Linked DNA regions of Nothobranchius furzeri. The protein of the gene in region 1 interacts with the protein of each later gene in a biochemical or structural test. Links are inferred from orthologs where the notes say so. Each region holds a gene or a part of one and is shown in the gene's direction. Other genes may lie near its edges.

Evidence for each region.
Region 2: the proteins of rcc1 (region 1) and ranbp3b form a complex in vitro, tested with the Homo sapiens proteins (2 studies listed by BioGRID). The link is inferred for Nothobranchius furzeri from reciprocal best matches to the Homo sapiens genes RCC1 and RANBP3.
Region 3: the proteins of rcc1 (region 1) and ran form a complex in vitro, tested with the Homo sapiens proteins (6 studies listed by BioGRID and IntAct, with this or other methods). The link is inferred for Nothobranchius furzeri from reciprocal best matches to the Homo sapiens genes RCC1 and RAN.

Annotation. Positions count from the first base shown.
Region 1 is NC_091745.1:40,106,440-40,110,794, forward strand, and holds the start of rcc1 (regulator of chromosome condensation), read left to right. Parts: upstream 1-1,717; 5' UTR 1,718-1,823; intron 1,824-4,355. UniProt on the Homo sapiens protein: Guanine-nucleotide releasing factor that promotes the exchange of Ran-bound GDP by GTP, and thereby plays an important role in RAN-mediated functions in nuclear import and mitosis.
Region 2 is NC_091751.1:45,070,288-45,074,542, reverse strand, and holds part of ranbp3b (ran-binding protein 3b), read left to right. Parts: intron 1-337; coding exon 338-447; intron 448-1,200; coding exon 1,201-1,314; intron 1,315-1,550; coding exon 1,551-1,651; intron 1,652-1,728; coding exon 1,729-1,804; intron 1,805-1,912; coding exon 1,913-2,009; intron 2,010-2,288; coding exon 2,289-2,413; intron 2,414-2,505; coding exon 2,506-2,626; intron 2,627-3,136; coding exon 3,137-3,279; intron 3,280-4,063; exon of another isoform or gene 4,064-4,255. UniProt on the Homo sapiens protein: Acts as a cofactor for XPO1/CRM1-mediated nuclear export, perhaps as export complex scaffolding protein. Bound to XPO1/CRM1, stabilizes the XPO1/CRM1-cargo interaction. In the absence of Ran-bound GTP prevents binding of XPO1/CRM1 to the nuclear pore complex.
Region 3 is NC_091741.1:91,738,093-91,742,365, forward strand, and holds the start of ran (GTP-binding nuclear protein Ran), read left to right. Parts: upstream 1-860; 5' UTR 861-1,727; intron 1,728-2,220; exon of another isoform or gene 2,221-2,439; intron 2,440-2,562; 5' UTR 2,563-2,575; coding exon 2,576-2,620; intron 2,621-2,758; coding exon 2,759-2,843; intron 2,844-3,785; coding exon 3,786-3,911; intron 3,912-4,007; coding exon 4,008-4,195; intron 4,196-4,273. UniProt on the Homo sapiens protein: GTPase involved in nucleocytoplasmic transport, participating both to the import and the export from the nucleus of proteins and RNAs. Switches between a cytoplasmic GDP- and a nuclear GTP-bound state by nucleotide exchange and GTP hydrolysis.

The DNA of each region.
Region 1 (4,355 bases):
CATCCTGGACATGATCATCCTGAGAGTTTTAGCTGAAATCGGCTGCACGTTTCTGGATATGTTGGAGACATTTAGCCTCTCATCCCAGAGGCTGCTTCCAGACTTTGGTTGTGGTCAGAAACAAACACACTGGTTGTGCTGCAAGTCTTTTTCTTTTTTCCTCCAAAACACGTTTTTGTCCAAATGAAGGTGATGTTATTGTTCATAGAATTAAAATTCATGTTGAAGTTAAGATTATTTCATCAAGTAGGACCTGTGGTTAGCTGGCTCATGTACCACATGTCATGACTTCAAAGAATTGGAATCGGGAATCGATAGGAACCGCAATCAAACTGAGGAATTAGAATCGGAATGGTTCAAAATCAAATGATGCCCAACCCTGACTGAGAGGGCGGAGCCGCTTACAAATGCACACACACACACACAGGGTCACAACGACACTGTGACATCATAATGTACCAGCTAACGTCATTGTGTACCTGTTAGCCAACAGCAATGGCAGATTTCAATTCAAATGCAGTGCAGAGGTTTTACCTGAAGAGGGCGCAACACTGACAGTTTTAAGCAGAATTTTTACATTTTAACTAGGATGCATTAAAGTACAAAATTATTGACTACACCTGTCTACAGCACGACATTCATTTATGTAGTTTATCAGCAAAAAATAAGTTTATTTGGGGGTGACTTGCTTTCAAGAGTAAGAATTTTTCTGACCTCTAGCGGATGAATGCTGTTACTAACAGGCAACATTTATAACGCTACACAAGACAAAACTCTGCACTTCCTGTAGGTTCCTTCAAAATAAAACACCTTTAAAATGACCACGGGTTAGCATTAACAGCATAGACAGATATTAGATAACAGTAAAAACAGAATGGCTTCATTTATACAAACTACTTAATTACTAAAATTCATTAAACCTATTTTAATTATATGTGTTCAAGATTACATCAACTGAAATAGACATAACTCGTACTTTCCGTAGAACACATAGCAGCAGTAGGTAACTTGTATGATGACAGTGAATGCACTACTTAAGGCTAGCATTCCCTTTCACAGACATAAAACTAAAACAAAGATAAGACCAGGCTGGAGAGTGTCTGAGTATCATGCTGAAGCATGTGAGGCCAACAAAGAGCAGGCGCTAGCAGGGAGACCTAGACATGGGCCTGTGCATAAAAGGGTTACAAATATGCAGAGCATTTAACTGAAAGCTGAGTCTGAATGTAATGTTACCTAAATATATATTTCTGTGAGAATTGGCCACCTGTATGCTATAAGCATTAAAAAAAACATAGTGTGACATAATTATTCTGCAGTAAAAATGGATGTAAAACTTCAGTACTTGAAAATTGTCTACAGTATATTTTTATTTATTTATTAATCTTTTGCTCATAACATTGTGGGTTTTTTGCATAGAGAATTGTGATTCCAGTTTGCTTCTGACAGTTTTTATCTGCCTAAATGTTAATTTGTTTATTTTTTTTCTGCAAGATGTGTATATTTGACATAGATAGATAGATAGATAGATAGATAGATAGATAGATAGATAGATAGATAGATAGATAGATAGATAGATAGATAGAAAGAAAGAAAATGCTTGCTATACTTGGTTGAGGTACAAAAATGGTACTGTACAATAATAGCACATCAGATCATTACCCATTGGATGGCGTTTTAAGTGCCGCGGTCTCTTTAAGAAAACCAGCCTTCCACAGGTTTCAAACAACGTGAAGTCTCGCGTGAGTTGCATGTCTGAAAACCGGGAACAGGCAGTTTAGCGTTCACCTCTAGTCAAACCACCAATTTATCTGTGTTTTCAGGTCAGTAACTCTTCTGCTCTTAAACCCAAGTTGTTGAACAAACAGCCGACAGTAACATATGAACATATTACTGGTCAGCGAACAGAAACTTTGTTACAATAATGAATTCATTCCTCGGTGTGATGCTAACACCGATAGCTAGCAGGCAACAGCTAGAAAGTAATTCAGTCTCATACAGCTTTTATTTATTGCCCAAAAATAAATGATTTTATGTGAAATCGTGTATTTTCTTTACTGTTTGTTAGGGGAAGTGTAATAGGTGCGTCACGTTTATTGGGAGTGAAGAATTCCCTTCAGATTGGATCGTAAAACAGCTAACTCAGAATGTTAGCAGTGGCACATGGGTGTTGACAACAGTGTTAGGTCAGGCGACGGGTTTAAATTGGCCGTGTTTACTGCTGTAGCAACACACACACACACACACACACACACACACACACACACACACACACACACACACACACACACACACACACGTGCTCTTGTTAAAGGTTAGTAATTAATGTTGCAAAGCCTCCGATTCAGTAGATTTGTGGTATTTCGTGTGCTGTCTGTCTGTCTCTGACATGCTGGTTTGGTTAAAGCACCCCTTACGGTAGAGCTTTTTAAAACACATTTCTATTTAAAACCGAGAAAGCGTGATTTTAGACCGTTGGTTACGTATTGTAACCCCAGATTCTATGAGTCTAGTCGCAGCCCTTAAGCTAGCTGCTATTGGAAGGATGATCTCTGCATCAGCCAATCATGAAGAGCTTAAATGTACGCACACCAATAGTGGGCCCCCTCGTGGTATATAACCGCAGTGACCCCACTGCTCACCTCCAATGGCTCTTATTCCCATCATAACCAGTGGGGCCAGTGGCTTAAGGGCTGCAACTAGACTCATAGAATCTGGGGTTACAAAACGTAACCAACGTTCTATTTCGTCTAGTCTTAGCCCTTAAGCTAGCTGCTATTGGAATAAAGCGCAGCTGGATGGGTTTACGCCCCACTGGTTAACACAACCAATGGACACACCCAATCAAATCTCCTCTAGTGGGGGACGTTCAGCCTCAGACCAGGCTTAAAGACTGAGGCAGGCACGATAAGAGAGGGGCCCCCACTAAAAAACATCATCCACAAGAGGATGAAATCCATCTCAGCAAGGCCAATGGGGTGCCATAAGCATTCATTTAGCCTGCTGGGGTCCAAGCACTGAACGAGTGATGGATCCTGAAGACACATCTCGTAAATAATAACGAGTAAAGGAACATGGGGAAGCCCATGAAGCAGCCTGACAAATGTCTTCCATTGACACACCACTGAGGAGCGCCATCGAAGAAGAAATCCCTCTGGCTGAGTGAGCCCTGAGTGCCTCAGGGGGATCCTGCCCTGATGATGTGTAAGCGAGGGAAATGGCGTCACACAGCCAGCGTGAAAGGCGCTGGGCCGACAGCGCCTGACCAAGGGAAGACTCCCTGTAGTGCACAAACAGGTTTTGTGAGCGACGAATCCCTGAAGTGCGTGACACATATCGTGCAAGCGCGCGCACCGGGCAGAGAAGGTGAGAAGCCGCCTCCTCCTCAGAATTATGGGGAGGAGGAAAAAGTCCAGCCAATGAGATTGACCTGGATTTGAAGGAAGCATTAATGCTTTTGGGCACAAAGGCTGGGTTGGGGCATAAAACAGCAGATCCGCCATCCTCCCGGATCCTGAGGCATGCGGGAGCCACTGAGAGGGTGGTTAGGTCACTCACTCTCTTAACTGATGCTAGCGCCAGCAGCAATGCAGTTTTAAGCGACAGGAACTTGAGTGAGACCTGGTCCAAGGGTTCAAATGGAGCTTCAGATAAGCCACGCAGAACCACCGTTAGATCCCATTGGGGAAAAAGCGGGCGGGACACAGGTCTGTTCCTCCTGACACCTTTTAGAAAACGTTTTGTGAGGGGATGATTGAAAAAAGATCTATCTCCAAAACCCTGATGACATGATGAGATAGCTGCAGCATATGTCTTAACAGTGCTGAATGCGAGGCCCCTGTCCATCAGTATCTGCAGAAACGATAGGACATCCGCCAGCTGGCAGGAGAGCGCTTGAACATTCCGTTCTGCACACCAGTTCTGGAAGCTGCCCATTTAGCAGCGTAAGACGCAATGGTAGAGGGCGCCCGCGCACTCTGAATCGTGGCGACCACATCATGCGGCAGCCCAGAAGCCTCTAAGCGTGACCGCTCAGCGGCCAGACCCACAGCCATTGGCCTATTTCCAGAGGATGTTTGATTATCCCATCCGCCTGGAGAAGGGCGTCCGCCCTCCACGGGAGCCTCCACGGGGAGCCGGACACTAGCGCTTGCAGGTCCGGAAACCATGACGCGGACACGCGTCTGGGAGCCACCAGAATCACCGAGAGCTGTTCCGACCGAATTCGGTCCAGGAGACGGGGAATCAGAGGGACTGGTGGAAACGCATAAAGGAGCGTTCGAGGCCAGGGCTGGTGTGAGAAGGCGTCCGCCCCGAGCGGGGGTCCGTCCCGGGGACTCAGGGAAAACCACAGG
Region 2 (4,255 bases), on another chromosome or scaffold:
TTTTTCTTTTTTTTTATTATCAGATTTGTTGACATGGGAAAAATAATCTCGATTAAAGTCAAAAATTTCGATAACGATACATTTTTAATTTATTGCCCAGCCCTATCTAGAGAGCACGTTAAACTCGCTCTAGATTATCTAGTCCAAAGTTCAGTTAAAAGTAGAAAAATTCTTTAAAAGGCCCGAGCAGGTGTGGAACAAGGTTGAGATGACGGAGAGCACGGCATCTTTACTTCTCCTTTCAGATACGAAGTCATTAGCCCCGTGTCTGAGGCTTCAGAGTGGTATTTCAGGCAAAGAAATAATTACTCCTGTTTTTCCGTGTCTTTAACTCTAGATTCCAGTTGTGGAACCAATGGTGTTAAAAAGCCGTCGGATGGATCACTTGTGACCCAATCCCTCTTCCTGAACAACAAAGAGCATTCAGCCTCGCTGGCCAAGTCACTGGTAAGAACTGGCCAAGCCTCAAGTCAAGCCAAGGCTTTCAAAGCTGAGGTTTGGCTAGGATGTTGTTGAAGCAGCTGCTTTTTGCTTTTTCCCCCATGAACATATGAGTAACAGCACACATTTATTTAATGAAGAAGAACAATAAAACAACCTTTTTTCGTATTAAAAAATCCTGGAAAATCACATAAATCTAATTTACTGAAATTCGAATGAAATTTATTTTGTCTTTAATGCAGTCAAAAAGGGTTGTAACTAGAGGTTGACCGATATTGGTTTTCTATTGCCGATACCAATGCTGATATGTAGGAGACATGGTCAGCCAATGGATAAGTACTGCAGATAGTCATGGCTGATATCTGGACGTTTTCCACCTTTTCATGTTAAATTGTCACTAATAACATCAGCTGATGCACAAAATTTCTGAAGCTGAATCAGTTTTGAACTCTGAACCTTGTGCACTGCTCAGTGTCAAAGTCAGACACCTAAATAATGTAAATTTAGAGTATTTGTTATGCGGATGTTATTGGTGAATGTAAAAATACATTGAAACTAAATTCTGCTGCAGCACCTGCCTGCACGAGGATGTGTCTGACTTTAAATCGACTTTACTAAGGACGGATATCGGCCGATGTCTAAACAAACTGTAAATATTGGCCAGATATATAGGTCTATCGTCCATTGTATTATATGCTACATTTGTAAATGGCCCTGGTTAGATGGTAAAAGAACAGAAGTCTTTGTTTTTTGTTTCAGAAACATGAAAATAAGGAAGACGAGGAGACTGATAAAGATGGAGAGAGAAGAGAGACGGATGCAGATATAGCAATATCTTTTGTGTTTGGTCAGAATATCAAAGACAGGGCAAAGGTGGGTTGCTTCTGTAGTTTTGTGTGACTTACAGTGATGGTTCAGATCAGTCCGCATGTTGGTAGACGTTAACTATCTCTGAAAAGTTCACTGTGTTGAGATTTGTTATTACCTCTACGCTCATTTTGTTTATAAAAGTCACTTTTTCTTTTTGTGTCGGTCTGAAAGACTGAGAATTTTCTGTTGCGGTTTGTTGTTCCGTTTCATTAGATGCTGTTGTCTTTATTTCCCTTTAGTTGGATGAGAACAGTACAGAAGACAACTCAAAGAACAATGTGCAACAAAACTCTCAGTCAGAGGGCACGAATTATTTCTTACAGTACATCTCTACCCCAAGGTAATGACATTTTGTCCTGTGTATAATTTCAGCTGAAATCTTTGTGGAGACTTACGTGTTTCTCTCTTGTATTCTAGTTCAAAAAATGCAACAAACAGTACAGACGGTGGAGCAAAATTTGTATTTGGGCAGAATATGTCTGAGCGAGTTCTGGTGAGTTCATTTGGGTGGTTGCGTGGTTTGCCAGTGGTGTGCTATACTGGAAAAACTGTGATGATTTAACGCCAAACGGGTTCCACTGATCAGCTGTTGTGTTTGCAGAGTCCCCCAAAGGGAGAGGCCTCAAATGAGGAAAATACGGAGGTTTCAGCTGCTTGTGCTTCAGAGCCTTCATCACAGGAAACTACCCCCGAAAAGGGTAAAAATACAATAATTCGTTCAGTTTTGGGGATAAATGGATGTTGTTTTGCCTGCTTAGCAACAAATGTGGGCCACAAATGACAAATTCTAGTCGCTTACTGAGAAGTTGCTGAATCCACAGCAAAGATGGATTAGCAGCTTGATTTTTGGAGTCACTGTTTTAACTATAGATGGTTCCAGTCCCACATCCTTTTGCTTGTGGACGTTCATACTGAAGTGACTGCTTTGTCAGTGTTGGAATCACAGCAGCCTGTTAAGTTGTGTTTCGTCTCAACAGCCAACAGTGTGTCAGAGTCTTTGGCGGAATCCGCAGCAGCTTACACCAAAGCCACAGCCAAGAAGTGCATCTTAGAGAAAGTCGATGTGAAAACTGGAGAGGAGTCGGAAAGCAATGTTTTACAGGTATGAGACGAGGCAGGGCTTCTGAGTGTGGCGCATGCTGTGACTAAACACCGGTGTAACACAAACCTTTGCTGTTTTTCTTTTTATTACAGATGCAGTGCAAGTTGTATGTTTTTGAGAAGACGGCTCAGTCGTGGATAGAAAGAGGTCGGGGGTTGTTGAGACTCAATGATATGGCTTCGACGGATGACGGCACACTTCAGTCTCGCTTAGGTAAACGTACCTGCAGGCTAAAAAAATAAACGTAGCACCGTTGATACTGTTTGAGTGTTTGAGTCTCCCCCAGCAGTGTTCACTTTCATCACCGTTACGGTTCATGTTGCAAGAAATAAATTATCATGATGTACGCTCATGTAAGGTCACAGAAAGGAAACCTACATTTCGTTTTATTCCTCATCATGCACTACCTCACTTTGAGCACAAGGGGGAGACGAATCATTCCATGATCCTATTAAATGGACATCACATCACACGCAAGAACTTGGATCTGGTTGTTTGGTTTTTACTTTATTGTTTGATGTAAAATCTATTAATGTCAAATTTGTTTTGAGTTGAAGTTTCTTACTTTCTGTTTACATTTACACGGCATTAGAAATTATTCCTTGTCACAATACTCTTGTTTTCATAAAAAACTCATATCGTTTATGAAGTAAATGAAACAAGTGGCTTCTTCAAGCTGGGCCTCAGCACTGACTTGTCATTGTGTGAATGATGTTATTCCAGTGATGAGGACCCAGGGCAGCCTGCGGTTGATCCTCAACACTAAACTTTGGCCGCAGATGCAGGTGGACAAGGCCAGTGAGAAGAGTGTGCGAATCACCGCCATGGACACGGAGGACCAGGGGGTCAAGGTCTTCTTAATATCAGTATGTATTGTTGAACATCTTACTAAGTTTTATTTCTAGGATAACATTTTTTTTATTCATTAATTTCCTCAATAAAAATACAAAACGTTTAGTTGTTATTAAAAAGCATTTCCAGATGATTTAGTAAATGGGCTAAATGAAAGGGTTTGACTTAAACTCACCCACTCCTGTTGCCATCAGTCTGACCCTTGGATAAATGTGCTTGTAGAGAAATAAGAGCCAAAAAAGTGGAAACAAGAGAAAGATGGAAATGTAGATTGTTTTTGTATAAAGTAACGCAGACGTTACCTGCTCCTCTGCCCTACTGGTTCAATGCGGAATTACAACTACTGTAAATAACCCTGCAGCAGCCTGCTGTAGCTAGCACTACCAACAAGCTAATACTAACATGTGGCAAGTCTTACTAAATAAGCAACAAATCAAAAAGATGGACAAACAATAATATTACCGTATTGACCCGGATATAGGACGACCTTGATCCTAAAACGACCCCCCTTTCCAAGACTAATCTTAAGGAAAAGGCAAAAAAAAAAATCACTTTTTAAATAAACAATTTTTATTGAAATTTTGAGAACAAATACTGAGCAAAAATACTATTTTAATGCAAACTATCAGAACTTTGCTGACATGTGAAATAGGGCTGCAACTAACGATTATTTTCATAATCGATTAATCTGTCGATTATTTTTTCGATTAATCGATTAATCGGTTTGTTATTGTTTAGCTATTTAACCTATACAAGTGATGGATGCATTTCAGTTAAGAACAAAAAAACATAAGAGAATTGTGCAGTTGACTGCAATCTATTTTATTGCACATGAACACAGTCAGCAGTATAAAATGAGCTAAACAGTGCAAAATATCAGTCCAGAATAATTTTTAGCATTAGCTGGAAGCCTGCTCCTTCCACCATGGATAGTGGCCTCATGTCTTTTACCAGCATGTTTAGAATAGAGTTTGTAAGTGGTATGAATTG
Region 3 (4,273 bases), on another chromosome or scaffold:
CTGTTGGTTAATCCTTTATTAGAAAAATAACATCTTAAATCATTTAGATCCTGTTGTTGTCAGGAATCAGTCTTGCTGCTTCCCATCTAACTGAGGTTTATATCCTCAGTAATGCGTGTCTCTCTGAGCTAAACGGCTGTTTAGTCTGGTTACATTGGTTAGTCCTTATAATGTGTTTCTGGAAATCATTTCACTATTCCCTCGAGTTCTACTTAGTAAGCATTTTTGCAAAATTTTCTTTATCTTTCGTTATTTTAGATATATGGCAGTTTTTAACCTAATGATGGTCTCATGCGGTAATGATTTGACCTGTCTCCAACTGACTCGACTATTCCTTATCCACAGAATGTTTTCTACTCAGTGGATCAGCCAGGGTTAAATACTACAGCTCTTTTGCCATTGGCTAGAACAGGTTGGGAGCTTTCTTGTTGGTCAGGCACTGTTTGGCTTGTTTTGTTGTAGGATTGGGTTAGTTTGAACTGTTCATGTGTTGAATTCATTTGTTTTTACTCACTGATATTTACAGACACATTAAAACATTTTTTATTGTTTTTAAGTTGAACATTTCAATGTAATGCTTCTCCAGAACAACTGAGGGTAATTAAATAAACCATATTTTAAACCTAGGCTGGTGTTAGATTAGTTGGAGAATTGGGAGTGAAGCATACCTGCAGCTTCTGATTTCAACCTCAACAGAATTGTTTTGACCAGTTTGAAGTGTATTTTTATATAAAGGATATAAGTAATTACTATTTTATTTAGCTTTCTGAATGGACTGAAACATTCAACAGGATTGATGAGCTAACAGCTAGTTTAAGTGCAATCACAACTTGAAAAATGTCATAGCAGTTTAATAATGTAATTTAAAAAGAGTACAAATTAGTTTTAATTCTCTCTGCTTCTTTTGTGCCTCATCAACAGTCATAACATGTTTTTCAGGAAAATTCTTCAAGCTTGTTAGATCTGTTTTATTTAACTGCATGATCTAATATAAAACACAGGCCCAGAATCATTTGAACCTATTACTTGGTCCCATTTCTGTCAGCTCTGGTTTGCAGTTTCCACTAAGGTATGAACTACGGGTGAAATTATACAAATTGATTATGTATTTTTAAACCAGATGAGTTTTAAAGGCCACTCTTTAACCCTGCGTGTTAACTTTGCTACAGGAACAAACAATGGAAGAGCCGGGGTTAAAGCATGGACATAAACACAGAAATGTCTATAGAGTTAAGTAACACATATCATCGGGCATCTGCCTCCCTTCATTACTCCGTAATCTTTAGAGAGCCTGAAAGGGGTTCCTGAAGTAGAGAAGTACAGAAAGACACTGGTGTCTGGGAAAGGCTCCTCCTGTCAAAACCTCCTTTTAGTGCAAATGTCAAATTTATGATTTATAACCCCGAAGGTCCTTGGAAGTTTTCAGAAAAGGGCAGAAACCTTTGAACAACAAAAACTAGCTGGCTTCTTATCGGGCCCATATGTCTTGATCAACACTTTAAAAACATGATATATACGGTTTAATCTCTAGAAGTGTTGCTTTGAGAACAAAGCAGCGGAGTGCGCATCGTGAAGGTATATCAGACGGATGCTGATTCATGTTCTATATTTTATGCGTTTTTGGCGCTGCGGAGGCCACGTGACCAGGGCGGAAAGTGACTCATAGTCCACGCTGAATCTGCCGCGAACGCAGCCATTTACTCTTTCCTCTCTTCGCAGTGACACCGGTGAGTCGCTAGTTTCCTCTTCAATTGAGGGCCTTCCTAAATGTCAAGTTTGGATTGTTTTTAAGTCACTAAGAATGAAACAAAACTTTTTGGGTTATTTTCTTCTTTTGGGTTAAGGTCGTTTTGCATGTGCAGCCTTAACAGCAGTTGAGGGGGAAAGGCCGTCGCATTTTTTGTGCTACCAGCTAACGGGGAAGAATGGCTTCCATGCTGTGCTAGCTGTGAGGCTAGCGAGCACAGCAATGCTCCATTTCACGGCTTTGTTCTGGGATATTTGTTCCTATTACTCTTATTTGTGTATATTTGCCAGGGAGTTTTCACAATTTTTTCTTGTTCGCAATTAACGTTATTTACGGAAGGCGTCTTGTTTAGACCAGAAATTGACGGCAACATGGAACGCATTAGCTTCTGTGACTGTCTGATTGTTCCAGTCGAACCTGAAAAAGTGCGCTCAGGCATCATATGGCGCACTAAACTAACGCCTGTTAGCTTGAAGGCTAGTTGGTAACCGCCAGTGCTGAGGCTTTTGGGGGGCACGGTAGCTTTGTTTTACTTTATATTTTGGCACACCGGAGAGCAGTTAGAGGCTGTTTGTTGATGCGTTAGCAAGCTTTCATAAATTATAACGTCGCATTTGAACATGTCGGAACGTTAGCTTGGATAGAACATGCTAGAAGTTATCCCTTAGCTGTAAACTCGTCTGTACAGAATGGTGCGTGTTCAAAGCCCCGTGTGAACAATATTCCCAGAATGCCAAATTGAGTTATTGAGAATCTTTAACTTAAATCAACGTATAGATAACACTAACGGTAGATTCCCGCCTTGTTTGTTTCAGAATATTTGGAACCATGGCTGACTCTATGGGACAGTGTGTACCTGTGGCGGTGTTCAAGGTAAGAATCTACTTCTTAAGAATGATGTTAAGTATGATCTAATTATGGCGCGTGAGGGCAAAAATGTGTGCGTTTTAGCTGAGGTAACTGGTGTACCAGCACAAACCGGTCAGTAGATAACTGGTCTGTTCTTCACAGCTGGTGTTGGTCGGAGATGGAGGCACGGGAAAAACAACTTTTGTGAAGAGACACATTACAGGAGAGTTTGAGAAGAAGTATGTTGGTGAGTAACCTGAGAAAGTTAAATGTAAACTGTACAAGACTAACCCAGTGTTTGTTTTTACCAAATTAGGTTTGCCACTAATGTTTAGAACATCACATTTACAGAAAATATTGTAAAATCGCTGCATCACAAGTTTATGACACAGACGTGTAAAATGCACAGTTCTGGTCTTCCTGTGAAATTAGTGTTTGTTGAAATTACTTCATAAAACAAGTGGTTTTTATTATTCTTGTAGTTGAAAGATAAACACAACTATTTCATGTCCATGTTATTTAAAACCATTCTCTTATCAAGTCTATGAATAATAGGCCAAATAAGAATGACTGTCCTCAGTAATCCCAAAGAGTGCAAAAATGCAGAAATTCTAAGTACTAGTTACTCCATATAGCTAGCTATAAATGACTTCCAGCATCAGTCACATAACTGATTGTAGTAGATGGAAAATCAAGCAATACCAACCTTTTTATATATTAGTTTAACAAACTTGGTGTCATTCTGCAATGTCTGAAATTCTACAACTAACAGCTGCTTTGGGTTGGTGATGTTTTTAAATGGAAAACGGTAAAACAATGAGTCAAACATTATTTTTTGTGAAACTATACAGGGTTTAAACTTGTAGATAACATCTTTGTCCTAATTTATATTGAAAAGAATTGAATGGGAGAGAAGGGAGATCCTGGATGAATACTGTTCCCGGTATTATAAATATATTAACATGTCAAACATTCAACATAAAGATGATGAATAATGTGTACTTTATTGATCCCCTTGGGGAAAATCATTCTGTTTGATTCATTCATGAGAAGCATTAAGCTACCATTTCTATGCCACCTGGGATCTGTTTTCTAGTTTATAACTTGTATCATAATTCTAGGATTAAAGTTCATTTGACCCTCTCTGTGAGTTTAGATTAATTTCTTGATCTCCTGCATCTTTTTTTAGCTACTCTAGGAGTAGAAGTGCATCCCCTGATGTTCCACACCAACAGAGGACCCATCAAGTATAACGTTTGGGACACAGCTGGTCAGGAGAAGTTTGGAGGGCTGAGAGATGGCTACTACATTCAAGGTGCTTCTTCAATCTTTAATCATGATACCAGCAGCTGGATGCATTTAGTGTCACCTTTCTTCTTCATTTGATCAAATGTACCCGCTCCTCCTACAGCTCAGTGTGCTATCATCATGTTTGATGTCACCTCTCGAGTCACCTACAAGAACGTGCCCAACTGGCACCGTGACTTGGTCCGCGTCTGTGAGAACATTCCCATTGTCCTCTGTGGCAACAAGGTAGACATCAAAGACAGAAAAGTCAAAGCCAAAAGCATCGTGTTTCATCGCAAGAAGAACCTGCAGGTAAAGGCAGCTTTCTAACGAGTTTGTGCTCTACGTTGTTGTGCGAATGTTTTTGCAAATTAATAACGTTTTAGCTTC